Callithrix jacchus: one gene and its partners. The protein of the gene in region 1 interacts with the protein of each later gene in a pairwise test. Links are inferred from orthologs where the notes say so. Each region holds a gene or a part of one and is shown on either strand. Other genes may lie near its edges.

Region 1 (3,500 bases):
AAATTCATATTTCATAATACCAAAGTTATTATAATTTTAAGTTATGAAACTTTGTTTCAAATTTTGAGAGGTCTCATTCTGTGTTAATGCCACAATAATACCCCAAATCTAGTTAAAGCAAACACATAATTATTTAACTTCTAAGACAAGAAAAAAGAAAGGCTACTTTGTTAATAAAACATTTATGCTGTTTTTTAATAAACTCTGGCAGCTGAAAGCTACAAATCAGAAATACACATGCATTACTAAGAAAAACCTGTGGATCAGATACCCATCAACAGTAAACTGGGTAAAGAAAATGTGGTACATATATACCATGGAATAGTATGCCGCCATCACAGAGGATAAGATTACATCCTTTGCAACAATATGAGTAGAGCTGGAAATCATTATTCTAAGTGAATTAATGTAGGAACAGAAAAATCAAATACCACATATTCTCACTTATGATGAGAGCTAAACACTGAGTAAACATGGTCACAAAGAAGGGAGCAGTAGGCACTGGGGCCTACTTGAGGGTGGAGGGTGGGAGGAGGGTGAGGATGGAAAAACTGCTATCAGTTATTATGCTGATTATATGGGTGACAAAATAATCTGTATACCAGACTCTTGTAACATGCAGTTTACCTGTGTAACAAACCTGCACACATACTCCTGAACCCTTTTTTTAAAAAAAGAAAAACCTGTAGATCTACATAATTTCTTAAACTTTAAGAAAAATATATCTTACTGAGATTAACCTTTCCAAGTATTCTTACTGAGATTAACCTTTCCAAGTACTAATTTTCCAAAGATTAGAAAATTTTACTCTCAAATTTTGCTTTTATTTTATAAAATGTGGGAAAAAATTTTAACACCCATCTTTGGAACTTCTTTATGTAGGCTCTCTGAAATATAGTTGTGAAATTATAGGGCAAAGTTGAGCAGTAGCATCATTACATACATAGTAATTTTCCATATCATTTTTTTGTCTTCAGATTTTTTTAGAGAATGTTTTCCCAAGTAGAAATCACTTTTTTATGTCTCAAAATTGCTAAATTATTTTGAGAAACTATAATTATGTACTTAAAATGTAAGTTAAATATATACATATATTAGCACTCTGTGTATATGTACACTAAATATATACACAAGTGTGTATACTATAAATTCTTGTATTCTTTTATATATGTACAGAAGAAAAGGAGCATTTCTAATTGATACTGTATGGCCTTCTTTTTTTCCCTCTATAAATAGCCTGAAGACATGTTTGTTTGTGATATAAATGAAAAGGACATAAGGGGACCTTCGCCATCTAAGAAGCTAAAAAAAAGCCAGTGTACTCCTCTTTTCATGAATGCTTACACAATGAGAGGTATGTAGAAAATGTATTCAACATAAAGAATATTTGCAGAGTAGACTCCTCTAAATAATGGTCATTATTATTCAGTTAACATTTTAGATACCTACCATATGCAAGAACTTGAAGTGCATAAACGTACTCGATGCTCACATCAACCCATGAGGAAGGTCCATTATTCCACTTACCCTCCTGCCCACCACCAACTTATTATTCCATGCCAGGAAAAATAATCCCATAACCATATGTAAATATTTGTGTAACTATATGGACTTTTTTCTTTAAAAGCTGTAATTCAGTCTTCATTGAACATGTGGCTTTCTTCTTCCTCCTTCAGGAGCAGGTGCAGTGATTCATACCCACTCTAAAGCTGCTGTGATGGCCACCCTTCTCTTTCCAGGACATGAGTTTAAAATTACACATCAAGAAATGATAAAAGGAATAAAGAAATGTACTTCCGGAGGGTATTATAGGTATTTTTTTCTTTTTCTTAAATAGTTTGAAAAGAATTCTTCCTTCTCTTTGACGAATAGAATACTGATCATTTTATGCATATAATGAGTTGTCATGGGATCTGTGTTAAATAATGCTCCATTTAGTATTATACTTCCAGATCTATTCTCGTGACACAAATGGGATGTCTTCCCTGCTCTCCCACCCCTACCCCAGCCGTGGTAAATTAATAGCAGTATGAATAATGAAATGTTTGTATAAGTAAACTGAAAAAAATCTTGGCTTAGATTTCTGTCATGATGGAAAGACTATGTTCCTATAATGAGGCACCCAGATATCTCTTCACCTCTACTTTGTCTTCAAAAGTGTGAGCCGTGACTAAAGTTTATACTTCATGACGATTTAATGTAGTATTTCTGAAATATTTCCATATTTATAAGTTTTTTAATTAAAGTAGGTCTCTATATTTTTAGAATTTTTCAATGTGAAAGGTCTTATACTTACTATATGGATAGTAAGTATAGAAGATTACCGTTCTAGATGAGTTAAAATAAATTCACCAGCCCACAAAAATGTAGTAATTCTTCATAATTCTAGAACATAATGGCATGAGGAAACATGTTCTCAGTGTTCAGGGACAAACTAAGCATTTCTTTTGAGTTTATTAGCATTCTCATTCCTGAACCTTCCACCCTTAATTTCCTAAAGGGCTTGATTCTACCTTGCCTTGTTTAGAGGAAAACATTGCCAGTTTTACTAAAGTGTTCTTACTGCGATAACATATTCTTACTGCACGTAATAGAATGTACATGTTTAAACTAGTGCACTGAGAAATTTATTTGATTTCAGTTAATATTTATTGTGTGCTTAAAGCATTCCTCAGCACTGTGAAACACCTATTTACAAAAGTTAAATATTTAAATTAAGAGAAGTGTACATACTGAGGAAAGTAGAGCCCCAGATTGCTTCTTCCATATCTGGGGCTGAAGAAGAGGGCTTATGGTTGTTATCAGTTTCATATGAATTTTATTGTTTTGGTGAAGAAATAAAAATAGGTTAGAAGAATTAGTTTTTCTGAAAAGAGGGAAAAGGTGAGGTAGAGGAAGAGAACATAAGAGAGAGCCTTTGCAATTTTGTGGAGAGGCCAAGCATGTTGGCCCTTTGCAATATTGTTGGACCTAGCTGGGAAATGAGTAATAGAGTCATTATCACAGCTCAGGAGGCAGTGTTATTTTATCTGAATTTGAAGAGAATCCTAAGTCTAATCAAAAGAAGGGCAATGAAAGCTGGATGAAGTAAGAAAGGATGGAGTTTAAAATTCCCTACTGCATTTTTTAAAATCTTTTATAAAAAGAACAACTTTACCCAGTCACATGTCACTTCATGATGGGGATATGTTCTGTGAAATTGTCACTAGGTGATTTCATCACTGTGTGAACATCAGAGTGTGCATATACAAACCTAGACACTGTAGCCTACTACACACTTAGTCTATATTATAGCCTATTGCTTCTAGGCTACTAGCCGGCAGAGCAGGTTACTGTACAAAGTACTGTAGGCAGTTGCAATGCAGTGATAGGTATTTGTGTATCTAAACATAGAAGATGTAAACAATAAAAAGTGGCACACCTGTGTAAGGCCCTTACCCTAAACGGAGCTTGTAGGACTGGAAATTGTTCCAGGTGAATCAGTGAGTCAGTAGTGAGTA
Region 2 (4,252 bases), on another chromosome or scaffold:
AGGGAGCAGAGGGCATACCTTCTGACTTGAGTCTGGTCAGGACGAAAATCAGGTAGTTGTTGAAGTCAGGAAACTGGTTGAGTTGTTTGAGTTTCTGCCAGGCTGTTAAGGGACTTCGAAGACAGAGGCCTTCCCCAGGCCAGGCCCCTCACTATGTACGTGACACCATCTCTGACCCCTGGGACCAGGCTGCCAGCTCCTGGGGGATCCCGCTCATCAAACCCCTAATAAGCCCACAGAGCACCTCAGAAACATCAAATTCATACAAGGAGTTGGGTGGAATATCTGAGTTTCCCATCCACTCCGGAAGACCCAGTCAGAGCAGGAGACAGAAGAAGAATCCCACTCCACTTAAAGTGGCAGCTGCTAGTCAGCTCTCCCCACTAGCAGGCCGTGCTTTTTTGTTTTGCTTTGTTTTAAAAAAAGAGGGAATCCAAATTTTAGGGTGAGTCATGCTCACGGTTTATAGATTTAATTTTTTTTGTTTTTTGCGACAGTCTTGCTTTGTCATCCAGGCTGGAGTGCCATGTCATGATCTCAGCTCACTACAACCTCCACCTCCCAGGTTCAAACGATTCTCCTGTTTCAGCCTCCAGATTAGCTTGGATTACAGGCACTCGCCACCATGCCTGGCTTAATTTTTGTATTTTTAGTAGAGACAGGGTTTCTCCATGTTGGTCAGGCTGGTCTCAAACTCCTGATCTCAGGTGTTCTGCCCGCCTTGGCCTCCCAAAGTGCTGGGATTACAGGTGTGAGCCACCGCACCTGGCCAAGAATTAAAATTTTTATCTTTATATATCTTTTTTTTTTTTTGAGATGGAGTTTCGCTCTTGTTGCCCAGGCTGGAGTGTGATGGCATGATCTCAGCTCACCGCGACCTCTGCCTCCTGGGTTCAAGCAATTCTCCTGCCTCAGCCTCCAGAGTAGCTACGATTACAGGCTCAAGCCACCATACCAGGCTAATTTTGTATTTTTACTAGACACGGGGTTTCACCATGTTGGTCAGGCTGGTGTCAAACTCCCAACCTCAGGTGATCCGCTTGCCTAGGTCTCCCAAAGTGCTGGGATTACAGGCATGAGCCACCGCGCCAAGCATATTTATCTTTTTTTTTGAGACAGGGTCTGGTTCTGTTGCCCAGGCTGGCTGGAGTACAGTGGGACAATCTCAGCTCACTGCAACCTCCAGTTCCTAGCCTCGAGCCATCCTCCCACCTCAGCCTACAAAATAGGAGAGGGAACATCCCCTGGGGCATGCCACCACACCCAACTAACTTTTCTATTTTTTTGTGGAGACGGGGGGTCTCAAACTCCTAGGTTCAGGCAATCTACCTGTCTCAGCCTCCTGAAGTGCTCTGATTACTGGCATGAGCCACGCTGTTGGGCCAGGTCCTACCTTAATAGTTAATGGAATAGATGTTAGTGTTCAATGAACATTAGGAATTTTCATCATTTTCGATAATAATCCCTGCAGCTCTGGAAATGGGACCCAGGAATTCTAATTCTTCTCTGGGGCAGATCCACCCCACAGCAGAAAAAAATCTAGGGACTGGCGGGGAGTCTGTCCCTCTCTTTCTCCCTCTGGCCTTCAGAAACTGCAGACATCTACCCGGTCCCCCCAGCCCCGGAAGGAAGGAAGGATACATCCTGCACGATGCGCTGAGTGGCTGTATTGGGCGACTGTGAGTCTTTGAGCAGCTGCAGGACCTGCTGCAGGCCCTGCTCGTCTGGCTGCCAGTCCATGGCGCAAGGCAAGCTGCGGGGGTAGGGGCCGGGGTCAGCGCTGGGTCTCTGGGGCTCCGTGTGAGACCCAGGTGGAGACCCTGAGGCCGCGGTGGCCGCATGACGACGGGAACGCCCTCGGCGGACAGGCAGAGGCCTTCGATCCACGCCCGCCAAAGTGCGGGGTCCCCGCCAGCTGCGCCATCCTCGGCCGCGCAGTCGCGGGATCGGGAGCGCGGGAGGGGGGATGTGGAAGTGAACTACAGGCGGCGGCGGTGGGGCCCGGCGGATCCTCATGGGACCCAGCGAAGAGCCCTCGTCCCAGGGTGGCCCATACCGCCGACCCCGACTCCGAGCCCGAAGGCTTCCGCCTCCCTCGCAGCGGCTGGGCGAGGGCCCATCCGCCTCCACATCCAGGGGCCCCGCCCCAGACCGTGATAGCGCCCCGGCCCCCGTGGTCTCTTAGGTGCAGGCACAGTCCCTGAAGAGTCCCCTTCTCCAGAAACCCGGCCCTTAACCTCTACCAGATCCCAGAGGCTGCCTGCCCTAGTCCAATTTATGAGCTTCCTCAGATGCACGGTTCCAAGACGATCGTCCTGATCTCTTCTGCCTCCCCTGTCCCGGCCCTTCAAGCTCAGTGGATGCCAGCTACCCCACTCTGTGCCCGAGTCAGATTCTAACAATCCCCCTTAATCAGGCCCAAAGCAGTCCCCCGATAGGTCTCCGTTGCCTCTTCGAATGAGAGGCAGCCAAGCCCACCCAACCTACTCTAGGAGCCCCCTGGACGATCCCAGTAGCCTTCCCCAATAAGGTCTGGCCAAGCTCTCCCTGAAACCCCCTCCGCCTCCGTCAGCAGTAACTCCTGCTGACGATATCTGCAGCCTCTCCCAATCAAGTTCAACCGAGGCCCCCACCACCTTGAGTCGGGAGCCCCCCACCACCTCGAGTCGGTAACCCCTTGGTCCGATCCTAGCAGCCTCCCCCAGTTTGGCCTGGGTGAACACCCCCCGGGGCATTCCCCTCAACCGATCCCAGCGATGCCTCGAAGTCAGATCCAGGAAAACCCTCTAAGCCGAAGTCTGACGCCCCTCCCTGTCAGGGCCCCAAAAGCTCCCCTCCCCCAGCCCAGCTCAACTTTTCAGTGCGGCCTCCCCCAATCAGACCCAACCAAGGCCCACCGAAACAGGCCCCTACACACACCCGATCCTCGCGACGTCCCCCAATCAGGCCCCAAGCAGTCCCCAGACGCTTTCCCCAATCAGATCCCCTCCAGCCCGACCCCAGCAGCCCCACTGGCCCTCTTCTCGCGAAGCCCCGACCTGGCCTGGCACCGAGGCCCCACCCCCCAAGCTCGGCTCGGTTTCCCCCTCCCCCGCCCGGCCCGTTCTCGCTGCCAACAGGATCGGGCCCAACCGGGTTCCCGGCCTTTCCCGGTCGGGCGCGGCCCCGACGCCCGGGCCGCGCGCGGCGCAGGCCCGGTGCCCGGCGGGGGTCGACGCAAGCTGGGGCCAAGAGGGTCGGGCTCTCAGTGAGGCCCACTTACCCGGCCCCGGGCAGCAGCGGCGGCGCCTCGCGCTGCGGCTTCTCCAGAGACTCGCGCGAAAGGAGGGAGCCAAAGAGAGAGAATTAAAAAAAAAAAAAAAAGAAAAAAAAGAAAAAGAAAAACGCGGCCTTAGGTGAGCCGCCGCGGCTCCCGTACTCCGTTCAAACTGGTCCCGCCGAGCCAATCGGAAGGTCCAACCTTCACACGTGCCCTGGCACTGGGGAAACCCGGGCTGAGACGAGGCCCGGTCACGTGACGAAAGAGTTGCCGCCTCCTTGGCCTCTCTAGCCAGGCGGTCCTCCCAACGTCTCGTTTTCTCAGCATCTCCTGCTGACCTGACGGCAAGCTCTTTTACCTGGAGCCAGGAGTTTGGTAGCGCGTAGGGACTTTCAGTGTGTGATGGGTTCAGGAACCCCTCGGCCAGAACCAGCTGCCTCCTTGTCACTTCCTCCACAAAAAATTGAAATGTGCCTCCCTTCCCCCATCCAGAGGTACTTGGGAGGAGTACGCTGTGTGAGTGCAAGGTGTGAGTGCAATGAAAGAGCTGAGCGTGGTCTTCACACCCCAGAGACAAAGGAAAGCAGGCAGGACAAAGTAACTGCTTGAGACAACCTGGGTTCCTACAGAAACCTCCGCCACGTTTTGCATTATTTTCCAGTACTGTTTGACAGTTTTTTACAAGGAGATGAAAAAGCCACAAGGATATCAATTTTTAAATAAAACGAAATTAACTAATAAACTTTGAACCAGGCCTAATCCCTTTCCCTACCTGAAGCTGAATGAGGTGGAACAGCCTAGGAAATTCTGGCAAGGGCAGGGTCATGAAGAAAGAAATCTTTGTGATCCTTGCGATGTCTGAAGACAGTAAGGCACCGTTTTTCCTTCTCTTGAAAGAGGAGCAGATGGGAAAGAGTTGGAGACCCTGGAACGTCCTGGTTTCCCCTCCCTGGCCTGCCGATAACAAAGTGGGCGACCTCTTGCCACTTGAAG
Region 3 (4,092 bases), on another chromosome or scaffold:
TCACCAAGCACAGGAAAGGCACTACTGACCCAGAAGTAAACAGGAGGCATTCATTTCAAGTTAAAAAACCTGCAGGATGGCCGGGCACCGTGGCTCACACCTGTAAACCCAGCACTTTGGATGGGTGGATCACCTGAGATTGGGAGTTCAAGACCAGCCCAGCCAACGTGGTGGAACCCCGTCTCTACTAAAAATACAAAAATTATCTGGGCGTGGTGGTGGGCACCTGTAGTCCCAGCTACTGGGGAGGCTAAGGCAGAAAAATGGCTTGAGCTGGAGAGGCGGAGGTTGCAGTGAGCCAAGGTTGCGCCACTGCACTGCAGCATGGGTGATAGACTGAGACTGTCTTAAAACACACACACACAGCTGCAGGAAGTAGTGTGGTGTCCTACCTGATGTGTTCAGACAGGGTAGAGAACTGGTTCTCAGCAAGAGGTGATTTTGCCCCCCAACCCCTACAGGACACTTAGCAATGTCTGGAGACATCTTCAGTTGTCACATCTAGGGCTGGGGTGGTAACAGCATCTAGTGGGTAGGGGCCAGGGATGTTGCTACACATCCTGCAATACACAGGACAGCCCCCACAGCAAAGAATTTTCATGCTCAAAATGTCACTAGAGCCAAGGCTGAGAAACCCTGTGGTAGAGTGGTCATCTCTTACCATTCTTCTACAAGACTGCTTTACTTCAGTACTCCAATTGTACCAGCCTCTGAGCTGTTCCTATCATACTCACAGCAGGATTCCTTCTCAGAGCCTTTGTACCTGCTATCCTCCCTGCTTAAATAACCATTCTTCAAAAGTTGCAAAGCTCTCACCCTCTTTCTTCAGATCTCTGTTCAAGTTATCACCTGATAACAATGTCTTCTCAAAATATCGTAATAGAAAATAAGTCACCATGCTTTATCTTATTTTTCTCACAGCACTTACCACCACCCAAGCATTGCTTACTCATTTTTGTCGTTTTTTGTTTAGTTTCGAGATGGAGTCTCACTCTGCTGCCCTGGATAGAAGGCAGTGGCACTGGCTCACTGGAACCTCCACCTCCTGGATTCAAGCAATTCTCCTGCCTCAGCCTCCCAAGTAGCTGGGATTACCAGCACCCACCACCCTGCCCAGCTAATTTTTGTATTTTTAGTAGAGGCAGGGTTTTTGCTTGTTGGCCAGGCTGGTCTCAAACTCCTGGCCTCAAGTGATCCACCCACCTCTGCCTCCCAAAGTGCTGGGATTACAAGCCTAAGCAACCACACCTGGCCTTGTCTGCTTTTCTCTCATCAAAATATAACAAGAACTTCATGAGGGAATTTGTCGATTTTGTTCACTGCTATAGTCCCAGTGCCCAGAAGTGTACCACATATTACCAACTGCCTAACAAACATTTATTGAAAGAACGAATAAAACAATGAATGGACATTAGGGAGGAGAACTAAAAGGATTTAGAAGAGAGGCAGGGCAGAAAAACAGTGCAACAGTTAAGACACATGAACTTCAGAATCACAAAGAGGTTCCAGTTTCAGCACCACCACTTGCTAGATGTATGATCTGGGGGCACACAACAGCCTCTCTGTGACTCAGGCTTTTTATTAGTAAAATGAAGATAATGATAATAAAAGAATTTACCTCCTGCACATCGATGGAAGCACCTGGCACTGAGCCTGACATGCAATCAGGGCCAAACAAATGCTAAGCTCTTGGTGGCATTGGTTTAGTGACCAGCAGAAAGGGGAGGAGTAATTTTAGAGAGCCCTGAGGTTTCCTGTGCAAGGACTGGAAGCTGGGGAAGAAGCCATTACTCAGGCAAGAGCAGGTATCGGAATCAAAAAGTACCAAGGCAGGGGTGGTGCTTCAGCTGCAGAGGTGGCCTAGGACAGAAATGCAATGCGTGGACTCCAGGGCCAGACTCTGCCTGTAAATTCCCACTCCTTCATTCACAAGCTACGTGGCCCTGCGCAAATTACTTGTAGCCCTCTGTGCTTCAGTGCTCTCATCTTTTAAAATGAGGATAACAATACCTACCTCTTAGGGTGACTGTGATGCTCAGTGATTTATGTTACCCAAACTACCCAGAATAATGCGTGGCCTAAAGCAAGCGCTGTGTAAATGTAACCATTATTATAATGACAACACGGTTAAGATCATGGTTTCTGACGTCAGGGAGCCTGAACTGGATTCAGGGTTATTAGCTGGGTGACCTTGGCAAGTTACACCAAACTCTCTGTGCCTCCATTCTCTTCCAAAATTAAAATAGCCTTCACCTAAGTCCTAAACCCCACAAGCTTCAGCAGAGTAACTTCCAAAGGTTTTCAGAGCTCCACCCCTGCCTTGCCCCCAAGCAGAGATCTGCAGAGCAAATCCAACCCACAAGCACCAAGCACAGGAAATGCACTAACGACCCTATGATTCCGGAGAATTCCCAACCCCATCCAATAGCCCACGCTCTACTCAAGAGACGAGAGCTGCCATTCCTGCTCCCTCCTCCCGCAGAAACTGTAGAACCCGCCGGTCGAGGCCTGGAGCGCCCGCGAGAAGGGGCCGGGAAGAGGAAAGCCACGGTTGCGACTCGCGGCCCAGGAGCCGGGGAAACCCGGAGGCTGCGCCCGCGTCTCCTCACCAGTAGCAGCTGCTGTAGACACAGGCGTCCCGCGGGGGGCTGGCCGGCTGGTACTGGGCGGCAGCGGGGCCATTACCCTCCATGGCCGGCTAGCTCAGCCAGGGCCCCAGCCGCAGGAAGACCGACTGGACCTGACGTAGCAAAGGAAGGGGCTGGCGTGCAGCGGCCCGCACGCGCACCCAGGGCGGGATGAGCGGAGCGCGGGGCAGCCGGGGCAGTTTCTGGGTGGCGGGGCCAGGAGCGCGGTGGGGCGTGGCCAGCAGCCTGAGTTCCCGGCGCGGGAATCCCGGGACGAAGTGGGCGGAGCTCGGGGCGAGCGGCGCAGGTTCCTGGGAGGGTGGAGCCCGAGCTAAATGGGCGGGTCGGGGGTGGGGTGAGTGGCGCGAGCTCCCAGTGGACGGAGCCCCGAACAAGGACGACATCGTGGTTCCGGGTAGGCGGAGCCCGGATGGTGGGTGGAGCCTGGGGTGGGGAGGGGCGGGGCCGCGTGTTGTGGTGGGCGGAGTCAGGGGCGGGGTACCGGTGAGGTTCGGGAGAAGTGGGGTCTCTGGCGACGACCTGAGGAGGAGCTAGGCTTGGGCTTGAGTTGGGCCCTGAATAGCGCTTCGCTGAGTCTCCCCGGAGAGGCTCTTCCAACCTGGGATGCGCTTCTGCGCTGTGGAGGAACCAGGTGAGATACTGAAATAACAGAGGTTTGGGTATGAAAATCCACAATTCAGCACTCAGCCTGGAGTCCGCGGGAGCCCAGAGAAGACGTGGGGCGTGAAGGGTAATTCCAAATATGACCTCATCGAGGACGCTTTCCGAAAAGGATAGCACCCCAAATCTCACTCTATTGTAACTTAATTTTTTTAATTGGAAGACCTATATCTACTGGCTCGAAAAGGTATATTAATTCCCTGATACAGTAAATTTTAGAAGTTTAAAGAGTTCATATGGTATCCTTTATGTGTTAATCATATATTTGTTCAATTACTGGCAGTCTGGAAGAAAAGACATCATATTGTTAAAATAGTGTTTATCTCTGGTGAATGAATGGTATTAATATCAGGGACTTTAAGTTTCAAGGACTTTCACTTTACACTTTAGTCTTCTGAATTGTTCATATTTGCAATGAGCATAGATAGCTAATGGGGGTACACTTCTCATTATAAAAACTGAGATGTTACATTGATTTTAGCTATCCACAGTCGGATTCTCCAGTCTCAGGAGTCTCAAAGCTGATAAATCCTAAAGACCGAGCATAGTTCCTGTCAGTTACCAATTTTATTGCCTCTCAGCTCTTAATACAAACTTCCACATAGCCTCTATGCTAAATAACAACTCTGGTAAACGTTTCTCCTTTAAAATGAGTGGGAAACCCTGCAAGCTAGAAGGGATTGGGGCCCTATCTTTAGTCTCTTCAAACAAAATAATTAGCCAAGAATTTTGTATCCAGCAAAACTAAGCATCATATATGATGGAAAGATACAGTCTTTTCCAG

The links. The genes of interacting proteins can lie anywhere in the genome.
Region 2: the proteins of APIP (region 1) and TNPO2 interact in binary tests that used the Homo sapiens proteins (3 or more experiments, as listed by UniProt). The two-hybrid records come from large-scale screens. The link is inferred for Callithrix jacchus from reciprocal best matches to the Homo sapiens genes APIP and TNPO2.
Region 3: the proteins of APIP (region 1) and NTAQ1 interact in binary tests that used the Homo sapiens proteins (3 or more experiments, as listed by UniProt). The two-hybrid records come from large-scale screens. The link is inferred for Callithrix jacchus from reciprocal best matches to the Homo sapiens genes APIP and NTAQ1.

What each region holds. Positions count from the first base shown.
Region 1 is NC_133511.1:100,238,247-100,241,746, reverse strand, and holds part of APIP (methylthioribulose-1-phosphate dehydratase), read left to right. Parts: intron 1-1,236; coding exon 1,237-1,354; intron 1,355-1,676; coding exon 1,677-1,812; intron 1,813-3,500. UniProt on the Homo sapiens protein: Catalyzes the dehydration of methylthioribulose-1-phosphate (MTRu-1-P) into 2,3-diketo-5-methylthiopentyl-1-phosphate (DK-MTP-1-P).
Region 2 is NC_133523.1:11,540,068-11,544,319, forward strand, and holds the start of TNPO2 (transportin-2), read right to left. Parts: upstream 2,801-4,252; 5' UTR 2,017-2,800; coding exon 1,642-2,016; intron 95-1,641; coding exon 19-94; intron 1-18. UniProt on the Homo sapiens protein: Probably functions in nuclear protein import as nuclear transport receptor. Serves as receptor for nuclear localization signals (NLS) in cargo substrates.
Region 3 is NC_133517.1:73,988,315-73,992,406, forward strand, and holds the start of NTAQ1 (protein N-terminal glutamine amidohydrolase), read right to left. Parts: upstream 2,801-4,092; 5' UTR 2,693-2,800; coding exon 2,610-2,692; intron 1-2,609. UniProt on the Homo sapiens protein: Mediates the side-chain deamidation of N-terminal glutamine residues to glutamate, an important step in N-end rule pathway of protein degradation.